Macaca fascicularis: one gene and its partners. The protein of the gene in region 2 interacts with the protein of the main gene of each other region in a pairwise test. Links are inferred from orthologs where the notes say so. Each region holds a gene or a part of one and is shown on either strand. Other genes may lie near its edges.

What was found. The genes of interacting proteins can lie anywhere in the genome.
Region 1: the proteins of HOMEZ (region 2) and DEF6 interact in binary tests that used the Homo sapiens proteins (3 or more experiments, as listed by UniProt). The two-hybrid records come from large-scale screens. The link is inferred for Macaca fascicularis from reciprocal best matches to the Homo sapiens genes HOMEZ and DEF6.
Region 3: the proteins of HOMEZ (region 2) and NCK2 interact in binary tests that used the Homo sapiens proteins (3 or more experiments, as listed by UniProt). The two-hybrid records come from large-scale screens. The link is inferred for Macaca fascicularis from reciprocal best matches to the Homo sapiens genes HOMEZ and NCK2.

Annotation. Positions count from the first base shown.
Region 1 is NC_088378.1:136,373,120-136,376,649, forward strand, and holds the end of DEF6 (differentially expressed in FDCP 6 homolog), read right to left. Parts: intron 1,377-3,530; coding exon 1,286-1,376; exon of another isoform or gene 1,193-1,285; intron 1,083-1,192; coding exon 859-1,082; 3' UTR 501-858; downstream 1-500.
Region 2 is NC_088381.1:91,054,605-91,058,767, forward strand, and holds the start of HOMEZ (homeobox and leucine zipper protein Homez), read right to left. Parts: upstream 2,801-4,163; 5' UTR 2,620-2,800; coding exon 2,580-2,619; exon of another isoform or gene 2,412-2,579; intron 1-2,411. UniProt on the Homo sapiens protein: May function as a transcriptional regulator.
Region 3 is NC_088387.1:10,312,471-10,315,970, forward strand, and holds part of NCK2 (cytoplasmic protein NCK2), read left to right. Parts: coding exon 1-281; intron 282-3,500. UniProt on the Homo sapiens protein: Adapter protein which associates with tyrosine-phosphorylated growth factor receptors or their cellular substrates. Maintains low levels of EIF2S1 phosphorylation by promoting its dephosphorylation by PP1.

The DNA.
Region 1 (3,530 bases), on a different chromosome or scaffold from region 2:
TCTGTCTTGGGTAACAAGGTCAGCGAGTCAGAGATTACAGGAAGAAAAGCAAGTCTGAAAGGCTTTGGGAAAGTTACCAAATCTCCCCGAACCTCAATTCATCCATTTGTAAAATGCCAATGATGATTTCCAGTTCTGAGAGTTGTCATGAAAATTAAATCACCTGGAAAACTGTAGTAGACACTTAATAAACACTTTTGGCTGATACTAATAATGGTGCTCGCTCATGTGCCAGTTAATCCTCATATAACCCTATATGGTAAGTATAATCATTATCTGTATTTTACCAACATGGGAACTGAAACACAGAGATATAAAGAAAATTGACCAAAGTCAATCGGTTAGTAAGTAGCAAAGCCAGGTTCAGAACCCAGGCAGTCTAGCTGCAGGGTCTTTCCTAACCACTTTATTATACTTTTACTGCCCTTTGGAACCTATAACTGGGCTTGAGGGAGGAAGGGAGGAAGTGGCAGGAGAGATGGACAGACCTGAGCCAATAATTCATTCTAAGAGCAGTTTTTATTTAGAAATGTGCTTCCACAACTTGGTGGCCACCTGGGGGCAGGTGGCCCCAGCTTGCTTGTTCACTCTTTCCCAGCCCAGGGGTTGGGTCCTTGGGTCTAAAGCACAGGGCAAGTTCTCAAGGATCAACACCCCAGACAGTCCCCATGGTCTGGGGCTTGGAGCTGGTATGAAGGGTGAACCAGGTTCCATTCTGGACTGTTTATGGTTGGAGGCTGGGCCCCTGGCACCAGGACCTCAGCTCCCTCTCCTAGTAAGAGCTGGGATCACCCACAGGCCAGCTGTGGCCAGGTCCTGGTGGATATGACATTGGGAAGAACAAGGGGCTAGGAGAGGCTAATTTTCTGGTGCTGGATCCAGTTTATCTTCCTGAGGGGTGGAAGCCGGGACAGGAGCCTCATCCCCACCGTTGAGGGACTTCTGCTGCTCATTGCTGTTGGGCGAAGGGGTCCTGTTGCCCTGGGATCCCCAGCGGGTCAGGCGCTTTAGGGAAGAGTCACGGCGGGCAAGCAGAGGGGGCTGGAAGCCTGTGAAGGAGCTGCTGGTGACCGGACGCTTATCTGGCAGAGAGAAGGCAGGCAAGTAAGGAGAAAGGCATGCAAAGGCGAGAGGCAAGGGGCCTTGCCTCAGCCCTTGGAGGAGAGGGGAGCCTCCTGACTGCCAGTCCTACCTTTGCTGGCCCTAGGAGATCTGGAGGTATCCCTTTCTCCCTCTTTTCTCTCGCCCAGCTCCAGGGAAAGCTCCAGAGTCTATCCCTTCTCACCTCCAGGCTCAATTGGATGCATGAGCCGGTTCATCTGGACATTCCAGTGTTTCACATTGGTGCTGGCCTGGCGCAGTTTTCTCTGGGCAGCCTGTGGGGGCAGGGCCAGTGGGGAGTGATCAGAACCATCATCCATGGCATGGAGTCTTGATCTTTTCAGGTTCACAGGCTGCTTAAAATCTGACCAAGACTACTGATCATCTCCCCAGAGAAGAACCATGTATGCTCATGAAGAGTTATTAATATATACATGAATAGAGTTTGCCTCCAATTTCATGGGACTCATGGACCTCCCAAAGGTAAAATGTAACCATAATAATAGTTTCCAACCAATATCCCTGATGAACATCAATGCAAAAATCCTCAATAAAATACTGGCAAACCAAATCCAGCAGCACATCAAAAAGCTTATCCACCATGATCAAGTGGGCTTCATCCCTGGGATGCAAGGCTGGTTCAACACATGCAAATCAATAAATGTAATCCAGCATATAAACAGAACCAAAGACAAAACCACATGATTATCTCAATAGATACAGAAAAGGTCTTTGACAAAATTCAACAGCCCTTCATGCTAAAAACTCTCAATAAATTCGGTATTGATGGAACGTATCTCAAAATAATAAGAGCTATTTATGACAAACCCACAGCCAACGTCATACTGAATGGGCAAAAACTGGAAGCATTCCCTTTGAAAACTGGCACAAGACAGGGATGCCCTCTCTCACCACTCCTATTCAACATAGTGTTGGAAGTTCTGGCTAGGGCAATCAGGCAAGAGAAAGAAAGAAAGGGTATTCAATTAGGAAAAGAAGAAGTCAAATTGTCCCTGTTTGCAGATGACATGATTGTATATTTAGAAAACCCCATCGTCTCAGCCCAAAATCTCCTTAAGCTGATAAGCAACTTCAGCAAAGTCTCAGGATACAAAGTCAATGTGCAAAAATCACAAGCATTCTTATACACCAATAACAGACAAACAGAGAGACAAATCATGAATGAACTCCCATTAACAATTGCTTCAAAGAGAATAAAATACCTAGGAATACAACTTACAAGGGATGTGAAGGACCTCTTCAAGGAGAACTACAAACCACTGCTCAGTGAAATAAAAGAGGACACAAACAAATGGAAGAACATACCATGCTCATGGATAGGAAGGATCAACATCGTGAAAATGGCCATACTGCCCAAGGTGATTTATAGATTCAATGCCATCCCCATTAAGCTACCAATGACTTTCTTCACAGAATTGGAAAAAACTGCTTTAAAGTTCATGTGGAACCAAAAAAGACCCCACATTGCCAAGACAATCCTAAGCCAAAAGAACAAAGCTGGAGGCATCATGCTACCTAACTTCAAACTATACTACAAGGCTACAGTAACCAAAACAGCATGGTACTTGTACCAAAACAGAGATATAGATCAATGGAACAGAACAGAGCCCTCCGAAATAATACCATACATCTACAGCCATCTGATCTTTGACAAACCTGACAAAAACAAGAAATGGGGAAAGGATTCCCTATTTAATAAATGGTGCTGGGAAAATTGGCTAGCCATACGTAGAAAGCTGAAACTGGATCCTTTCCTTACTCCTTATATGAAAATTAATTCAAGATGGATTAGAGACTTAAATGTTAGACCTAAAACCATAAAAACCCTAGAAGAACCTAGGTAATACCATTCAGGACATAGGCATGGGCAAGGACTTCATGTCTAAAACACCAAAAGCAATGGCAACAAAAGCCAACATTGACAAATGGGATCTAATTAAACTAAAGAGCTTCTGTGCAGCAAAAGAAACTACCATCAGAGTGAACAGGCAACCTACACAATGGGAGAAAATTTTTGCAATCTACTCATCTGACAAAGGGCTAATATTCAGAACCTACAAAGAACTCAAACAAATTTACAAGAAAAAACCAAACAATCCCATCAAAAAGTGGGCAAAGGATATGAACAGGCACTTCTCGAAAGAAGACATTCATACAGCCAACAAACACATGAAAAAATGCTCATTATCACTGGTCATCAGAGAAATGCAAATCAAAACCACAATGAGATACCATCTCACACCAGTTAGAATGGCAACCATTAAAAAGTCAGGAAACAACAGGTGCTGGAGAGGATGTGGAGAAATAGGAACACTTTTACACTGTTGGTGGGACTGTCAACTAGTTCAACCATTGTGGAAAACAGTGTGGCGATTCCTCAAGGATCTAGAACTAGAAATACCATTTGA
Region 2 (4,163 bases):
AGCCAAGATTGTGTCACTGCACTCCAGCCTGGCGACAGTGAGACTCTGTCTCAAAAAAAAAAAAAATTCTCACTCTCTCTCTGAGTCAGTATAACACCCTTCTTTCCCCTTGGGCTTTCCATATCCCTGGACAGATGGCAAACAAGAATGGACTGTCTTAAACTTCCAGTTTCTGTGTTTACACAGTCCTAGGAAAAAGAGGACTCTAGAACTTTAGGTTTGAACCTAGGCCTATCGTTAAATTAGGAGACAGTTAAAGTGGGAGGCAAGGCTGGGTATAGTGACTCACGCCTATAATCCCAGCACTTTGGGAGGCCGAGGCGGGAGGATCACTTGAGGTCAGGAGTTCGAGACCAGCCTGGTCAACACGGTGAAACCCGTCTCTATTAAAAATACAAAAATTAGCCAGGCATGGTGGCATGCGCATGTAGTCCCAGCTACTGGGAAAGCTGAGGCAGGAGAATCGCTTGAACCTGGGAGGCAGAGGTTGCAGTGAGCCATGATCACACCACTGTACTCCAGCCTGGGGGACAGAGTGAGACTCTGTCTCAAAAAATAAAAAATAAAAATAAATAAAGTGGGAAATGAGATATGATCCTGCAGAGTTCCCTAAATCTTTATTTAGAGGCAGTCTGAAGTACTCCTGAAATGTGTTTGGGGATACAGTTTTAAGGGCCTTAAAGATGTATAGTGATATTCAGCTTATATGCTTCTTAACTTTTTAGTTCATGAACCTCTGAGAATCAGACAAAAGTTACAGACCCTCAGAAAGTTATGACCAACCTTCCCGAAATAAACATTCACACTTACACAGTAAACTCAGGGCCTTTAGTGACTGCCAAGAAGCCAGGTTAAGGATTACTGCCTCATATCCTTCCAACTTAACAAAGGCAATAGTGGTAATCACTTAAAGACGAACAGTTTGATGTGAACGAATGTAAAGAGTTGATGGAATACTCAGGAATTCAAGTGCGTTTAGAAGGGACAAGGTAATTGTGATATTAGTTGGAAAGAGTGGAAGGGAAGGATGCTCACCTGGGCCAGGAGCCTGGCTTAACTGACCCACTGGATTACATGACCAATACCATGGTGCACTGGAAACTAAAGGCCAGTAGGCTACTACTAGTGCGCCAAAATCATCTGCTTCATTCAGTTGTCCTGTGTGCTGGGGCCAGTTTTGTGTGATTACAAACCTGCTTATGTCCACACTTTTTCAGTGTCTGTATAATAATGTAATTAAACCTCATGTAAACCTATGAAAAATCACTGCATTGAAAACTGTTCCTTCAGGAATACTGATTTTTTAAAAATTGGTCCTATGAAAACTAAGTCAAATGTTTTGGAGAGACATAACGCAAAGAAGAGTATGCATTTTAAAAATTGTTGAGTTGGGAGTGAGCAAGACAACTGCAAAAGATTGAGGGGTGGGACTTAATCTCAAAAGTACTCTGCACTCAAAAGCGTCTGAATTCTTACTTCACTTTAAATAAAGCAAAACGGGAAATCAAAGATGATGAAAGTGCCTGAGTGGCTCTCATCTCAGACTGCACTGTAGAATTACCTGGGAAGCTTAAAAACCAGGCCACTCTCCTCCCCATTCAGATTCAATAGTCTGTACTGGGGTCCAGGCATCCACAGTTTTTTAAAAAGTTCTCAGGGTACAGCCAGGTTTGAGACTCCCTGTGTAGTTAACACTGGAAAGAGAATTGGGAACTCCGAACAGCAGTCTTAGACACAAGAACAGTCTCACCACTACATCAAAAGATTGGTGAAATGGACATACTTTTAATTATAATGTTCAAGATATGTATGCATTATCTTTAAAATTCCCAATCTGGTTTTTTCAATTACAACCATCTAACCTAATCATGTAATATAAAAGGGCTTCAAGTGTATGATGGGAAAGAGGCTCACATGACAAAAAAAAAAAAAAATCTCCTGATCTGGGCCCACATTACCAAACAGGTCTCAGCTTGAGTCTTCTTTCAGTTTAGGAGTCTCAGAATAGGACGCAACACTAGGAACCCCAGAGGACTCGGGTTCTCAGTTTCCTGGTTGGTTTTCTGAGTATGGCTGGGTACGGGAATCAGAGGGGCAGTTTCTTCTAAACCTTTCATTCCCAAAGGCCGCTGATCCCCCAGAAGCAAGGCCAGGTTCTGCACGTGTGTTGAGGTCGCCAGGAGGTAGCCATGGGGGTTGGGGGTTTGTGTGGCGTCGGGGGGGGCCTGGGAAGGAAATGTTTCTCCTATCCTCCATTTCACAGGCAGTCCAGAAGGCTCCGAACTGGGTCAGGGAACAAAAAGTTGTTGCACTTGGGACGATGAGCCCCATGAGGCAGGCGAATCTCAATCCTACTCTCGCCAAGGGCGCCCCAACCCAACCTTCTTGCCCTCCCCTACACAGACACTTACCCTCCCCTAGTTACAACAGGGAACCGAAAAGTCCAGAGGAGAAAAAAGAGAGAACCGAGCCACTTCGAACCTAGAATTCTCCCCCCACCAGCGCGGGGATGGGACTCCAGAGGTGGGAGACCGTACACGAGCTGGGAGGGGAAGTCCAAGGGGCTGGGGATCACTCACCGCGGTCCAGCCCGGGCGGCGGCTCCCAGCCTCGCACCATGGGCCGGGGGGAAGTGGGGGAGAGGGCAGGGGGCCTCCGAGTGGGAGTGGGGTTGCTGCCCGGTGCGGCCGCTCCGAGCCCACCCGAGCGATGGCCGAAACCGGGACTGCCCCCCCACACCGCCCCCGGGAGTGCGCCGGTCTACCCAGCCCTGCTCGAGCAAGTTGGAGGCGGGGCGGATGGGTGGGGTGGGCGTCCAGAGGCGGTGCCAAGGTGGCCCGAGTCCTGATTGGTGGGCGCAGGCGGGCGGGCACGGGCGAAGTGCACTGGGCTGGCCATTGGCTGCTTGGGTCTCGGCTGAAGTCGGCTATTGGCTGCGTGGGCCTCAGCTGGGGTCATCTATTGGATGCGTGGGGCAGGGAAGATGTCCCCTGGGGCCAAGCTGCGGTGCCTGGTACCTCCCCCTACCCTCGACCTATGGGCGCTGGACCTTTGGAGTACCCCGGGCCAGGATCCTTCCGAAATTCCCCAAGGAGGGACACTGCACTTTGCCGAACTGTCTGGACCGCCAACAACTCCCAATTTGTTTCCTTCTGAAGGAAGCCCTCCAGGAAGACCTTTTCAGTGCCCCCTCCCGAGCCATACACACGAGCTGCGCCTTTCCCAGCCGAGAGCCCAACCGCCACCAGCAGCGTCAGCAGTAACAAAGCGCCTAAAGCAACCGGGAACTTGTTCTCGAGATGGATCAGATGTCTTGCCACCCGGAAAGACGAGGACCTTAGGAGCCTGCGGGCGACTTAGGCCGTTCCCTGGGTCAAACTGGCACCAGACCGATGTTCCCAAAGATGAAGTGCTGGAGCAGTCACCTCACTGGGACCTACCAGACCCTCCGGCTCCCCTGCTTGCCCTAGAAAAGAGGACCCGGAGTTCTGCATAGTATTTGTTTTTCACTAGCTAGGAAGGGATGAAGACTGAGGTGGGAGAATAACTTGATTCCAAGAGTTCGAGGCCAGTCTGGGCAACATAGTGAGACCTTGCCTCAAAAAAAAATTTTTTTAACTTACAAAAAGAAAGGGATGACAATAAAACGGACTTCACCAAAGCAGTATCCCACACAGTATGAAGTTATAGGCCAAAATTTGTATTTTAGGATTCCCCATCTTCTGTGAGACAAAGTAACAAATGTAAGAAGCCAGACTTGCTCAATTCTGCTTGGCAACATAATTTCACAAAGCCTCTGACTCTGAAGTCTCTGGGAAGACCCTTTGAAGACAAAAGAGGATAGGGCACACAGTCAACCATGTCTCTTGCCTGAGTCACTATATTCCCTAAAAGATAAACGGGCTGGGAGCGGTGGCTCACAAACCTAATCCCAATGCTTTGGGAAGTCAAAGAGGGAGGATTGCTTGAGGCCAGGATCCAAGACCAGCGAGGCAACATAGCGAGTCCCTGTCTCTGCAGAAAAATTTAAAAATTAGCTGGACTTGGTGGCATGCACTTGTAGTCCCAGCTACTCAGGAGGCTGAAGCAGGAGGATCGTTTGAGCCCAGGAGTTGTAGGCTGTAGTGAGCTATGATTGCACCACTGCACTGCAGCCTAGGCAA
Region 3 (3,500 bases), on a different chromosome or scaffold from region 2:
AGGTGATCGAGAAGCCCGAGAACGACCCCGAGTGGTGGAAATGCAAAAATGCCCGGGGCCAGGTGGGCCTCGTCCCCAAAAACTACGTGGTGGTCCTCAGTGACGGGCCTGCCCTGCACCCTGCACACGCCCCACAGATAAGCTACACCGGGCCCTCGTCCAGCGGGCGCTTCGCGGGCAGAGAGTGGTACTACGGGAACGTGACGCGGCACCAGGCCGAGTGTGCCCTCAACGAGCGGGGCGTGGAGGGCGACTTCCTCATTAGGGACAGCGAGTCCTCGGTAAGTGCGCTGCGCCCGCAGCTCTGGCTGGAGGCAGTAAATGCGCCTTGCACAGTGGCTCTGTGTGCCGCGCCCATTTCACATTGTGTGAGTACACTAGAAAGGCGAGAGATGCAGATGAATGCAATTTAGTGTAATGTTTGCTACTCCGTGATTTCCTTGCATCTGTTTTGGGGATCGTGGGTGTCCATTTCTGGAGATGGGAGGTTAACTGAAAAAATGTTTGTAGCTGACAAAGGTGGTTCTGCTTCTCTCCGAAGATTGCCCCTCTTGTATTTTACAGACTCAAACGTCATTTTCTCTCCTGGTTGCCCATTGTGTGTACGTAGAAGGCCCCAGTGATTTACTTTGTTTCCACTCGGTCTGTTTCCCAGAGAAAGCAATCTTTGCAAGACTGGTGGCGGGTTTCTGACACCGCCTTTTGTTGTTTGCTTGCTTTCTCTTTGTAAACCGTATAATCCCAAGGTCATTGCCACGGCAGGCAGCGCCACTGAGTTCATCTCTGAAAAGCTTTTAAAGCACTTACGAGATGAATTGTAAAGAAAACAAGGGTTCTTGAGAGAGATGAGTTTTGTGTGTGTGCAGTGAGTGGGAGATATGAAGCCACTGGACTGGGGCAGCAGACCCACTTCCAGGGGTGGGCAGGCTGGGGGCAGTGAGTTTCAGACGTGGGGGTGGAGCCTGCATCCCAGAAGGCAGCCTTTTCGTGTGTGAAGGAAATATTCGACCAGTTTTGCAAACGTCTTTACAAATACACCTTCTACAATCGAGAGACTTCCAAAACAAGCATTTAGGAGTTTGATGTATTTGAATTGTATTGGTTCTAGTAGGCTTCAATTTCATTTTTAAATGCACACTGTAAGACTAGTAAGTATGTACTACCTGCTGCCCCTGCTGTCCTCTGAAAAGGTTACTGGCACAATAAATAAGTGCACATTCAGGAGTCCTGTTGACTGATCAGAGAGGCATTCAAAGCCCTCCAGAGAGAGGCAAGTGGGATCTTCTCCTCTTTGAGGAAGGAGCATCGTGGTGGTGGAAACTGGACTCCTTTGTGGTGTCATCAGTTTTGCGGAGCCTTAGATGTGCTTGGACGGGAATGCCAGCCTGAAAGCTAACTTCATCTGAAATCTGAACTCTGAGATTTTCTTATCAAGTCACCAGAGTTTATCATTCCTGGCAAGACATCACATTGAATTGTTCTCACATGACGAGAGCTCTGTGCACCATTTCCTTTAGATCGGGTTTGAAGCCTTAAGCAAATTAAGGACAGCAGCGCTTTTAACTCAATCGAGCAGAAACTTAGAGAAACTGCTGGAAAACCAATTACAATATTAAGTGCTTGGTCCAGAGTCCTTAAGGGCTAAGTATAATGCACAAAATATGATCTTGGCTTAAAATGTTTGAGTTTGAAGAGACTTCTCAGAAGGAAGGCCTGCAGTGTGGAGACATTGCTCCCAGTCGTTCTTCTTTCTGCCTAAGATTTGGGGAGATGAAGAAAGACTTTAGAGAGTAGATGAAAAAGGTGTTCTCCAGGGTTGCTGGCCTTAGGGAGGACCTATGGCTTTTCTGTGGAACATGCACAGGTGGTCATTGTTGTCTGAATTCAGGGACCGGATCCCTTTGGATAAGGAGGGATGCATGCATTGGCTGGGTTTCATCTCAGAACTCTACACCCCACTGTCTCAGTTGCCTTGCATTGTTAGAGAATGAGCTCACTTTTTCAAAAGTACTAAAGCACTAATTGTTTGTATTTCCTTTTAACAATTTTTTAATTGGGGGCCTTTCAAGATGTTTTGCATTCTCTCCTAACTTAGAAAGTCAAGGAGCAACATGTATGATTCCAGGAATATAGGGTGGAAAGGGCTTTACTGGCACTTGCATCGGCTCTGCACACATAGCAGCACCGTCTTGGTCTGAGGCTCCACGTGGCCTGATGCTGTGCAGGGCAGCTTGTCCTGATGGATCTTGCCGTGACACAGGCCATTTTCAGCGGTTAGTGTGCATGCCTTGTGCCACGGGGATTCTACAAGAGCCCTGAGGTGTGTGGCTTCTTTTCTCCTGACCGCAGAACCGGGCCAGGTTTGCTGCGTTTCCTGTTCATGACCAAGGCTGTTCTCAGCTGTCATCTGTGACTGCCGGGGACCTGTCCTGGTGGACAAGTGGACAAGTCCTTTGCTTGTTTTTTTTCCCCACCATCCGCTGCCTCCCCCCATCCCCATGTGTTTCCCTGCTCATTTTGCCATTTCTCAGGTTAGAGCTGGCTTTCACAGCCACCACCAGGCCACCAAGAGCCCTTAGGTTCACGGTCTGACATAATTCCTTCACAGCATGCCGGGACGGAAAGGTTTCTGAGGGGTTCAGCCTCCCTGCAGGACTCAGAGGCAGGCATCTTCATTTAATTTCCTTTTTTCTTGGAATCTTTGGGCCTGGACCTTTCGTTGAGGTTACCACATGAAGCCTGGCTTCTGGATAAGCACAGCTGTTTCTTCTGGAATGGATCTTCAACATGCGTTTCAGTTTTTAAAATACCCTGAGTGACTGCAGTGTAAATGAGCTAGACCCTTGCTTGATGACATTGAGAGGTGCTTATTTCAGGGAGGACAAACATTGCCACATCCTGCACTATCCACTATCAGTAAGTGCTGGGTATTTCAGAAGTATCTGTTGGATATGTTAGATGAATCAGTGAACTAACAAATGAACGAACCTGTTGGGCCCTCTTTCCTGTCCTGAACGTCAGTGCCTACTGCTTGTTCTTCCCTTTCTTCTTCCTCCCTCGCTCTCCTCTCTCATCTACAATTGTCGTTTATCCTTAGCAGCTAAAGGTGATATATTGTTGGTGCTTATTCTCCATATTTCATTATCATACCTTCAGCTGTGAGCTATACCTGCTTAAATCCAGAAAACTCAGAAATCCTACTCACCCGGTGTGTGTCCCTCATAAATCCTTTTATATTTTGTCCACATTGATGCTATGGATGTGGCTAGAAAGCTGTACTTAAAATGAACAGTAACCCTTTACTGGGTTTCTGGTAAACTGTACAAGTTGTCAGTATTTTATTAATTGCTGCATCCCCCATCCTTGTAAAAGTTGTTCAGAAAGTGACAGATCACAACTAGGATATGGTTGGAAAAGGTGCACAGCTGGCCTGGGTGACTTGCTGGACAGCATCAGCCACAAGTCTGGGAAGCCATTTTCCTCTGTAAGATTTTAGATAC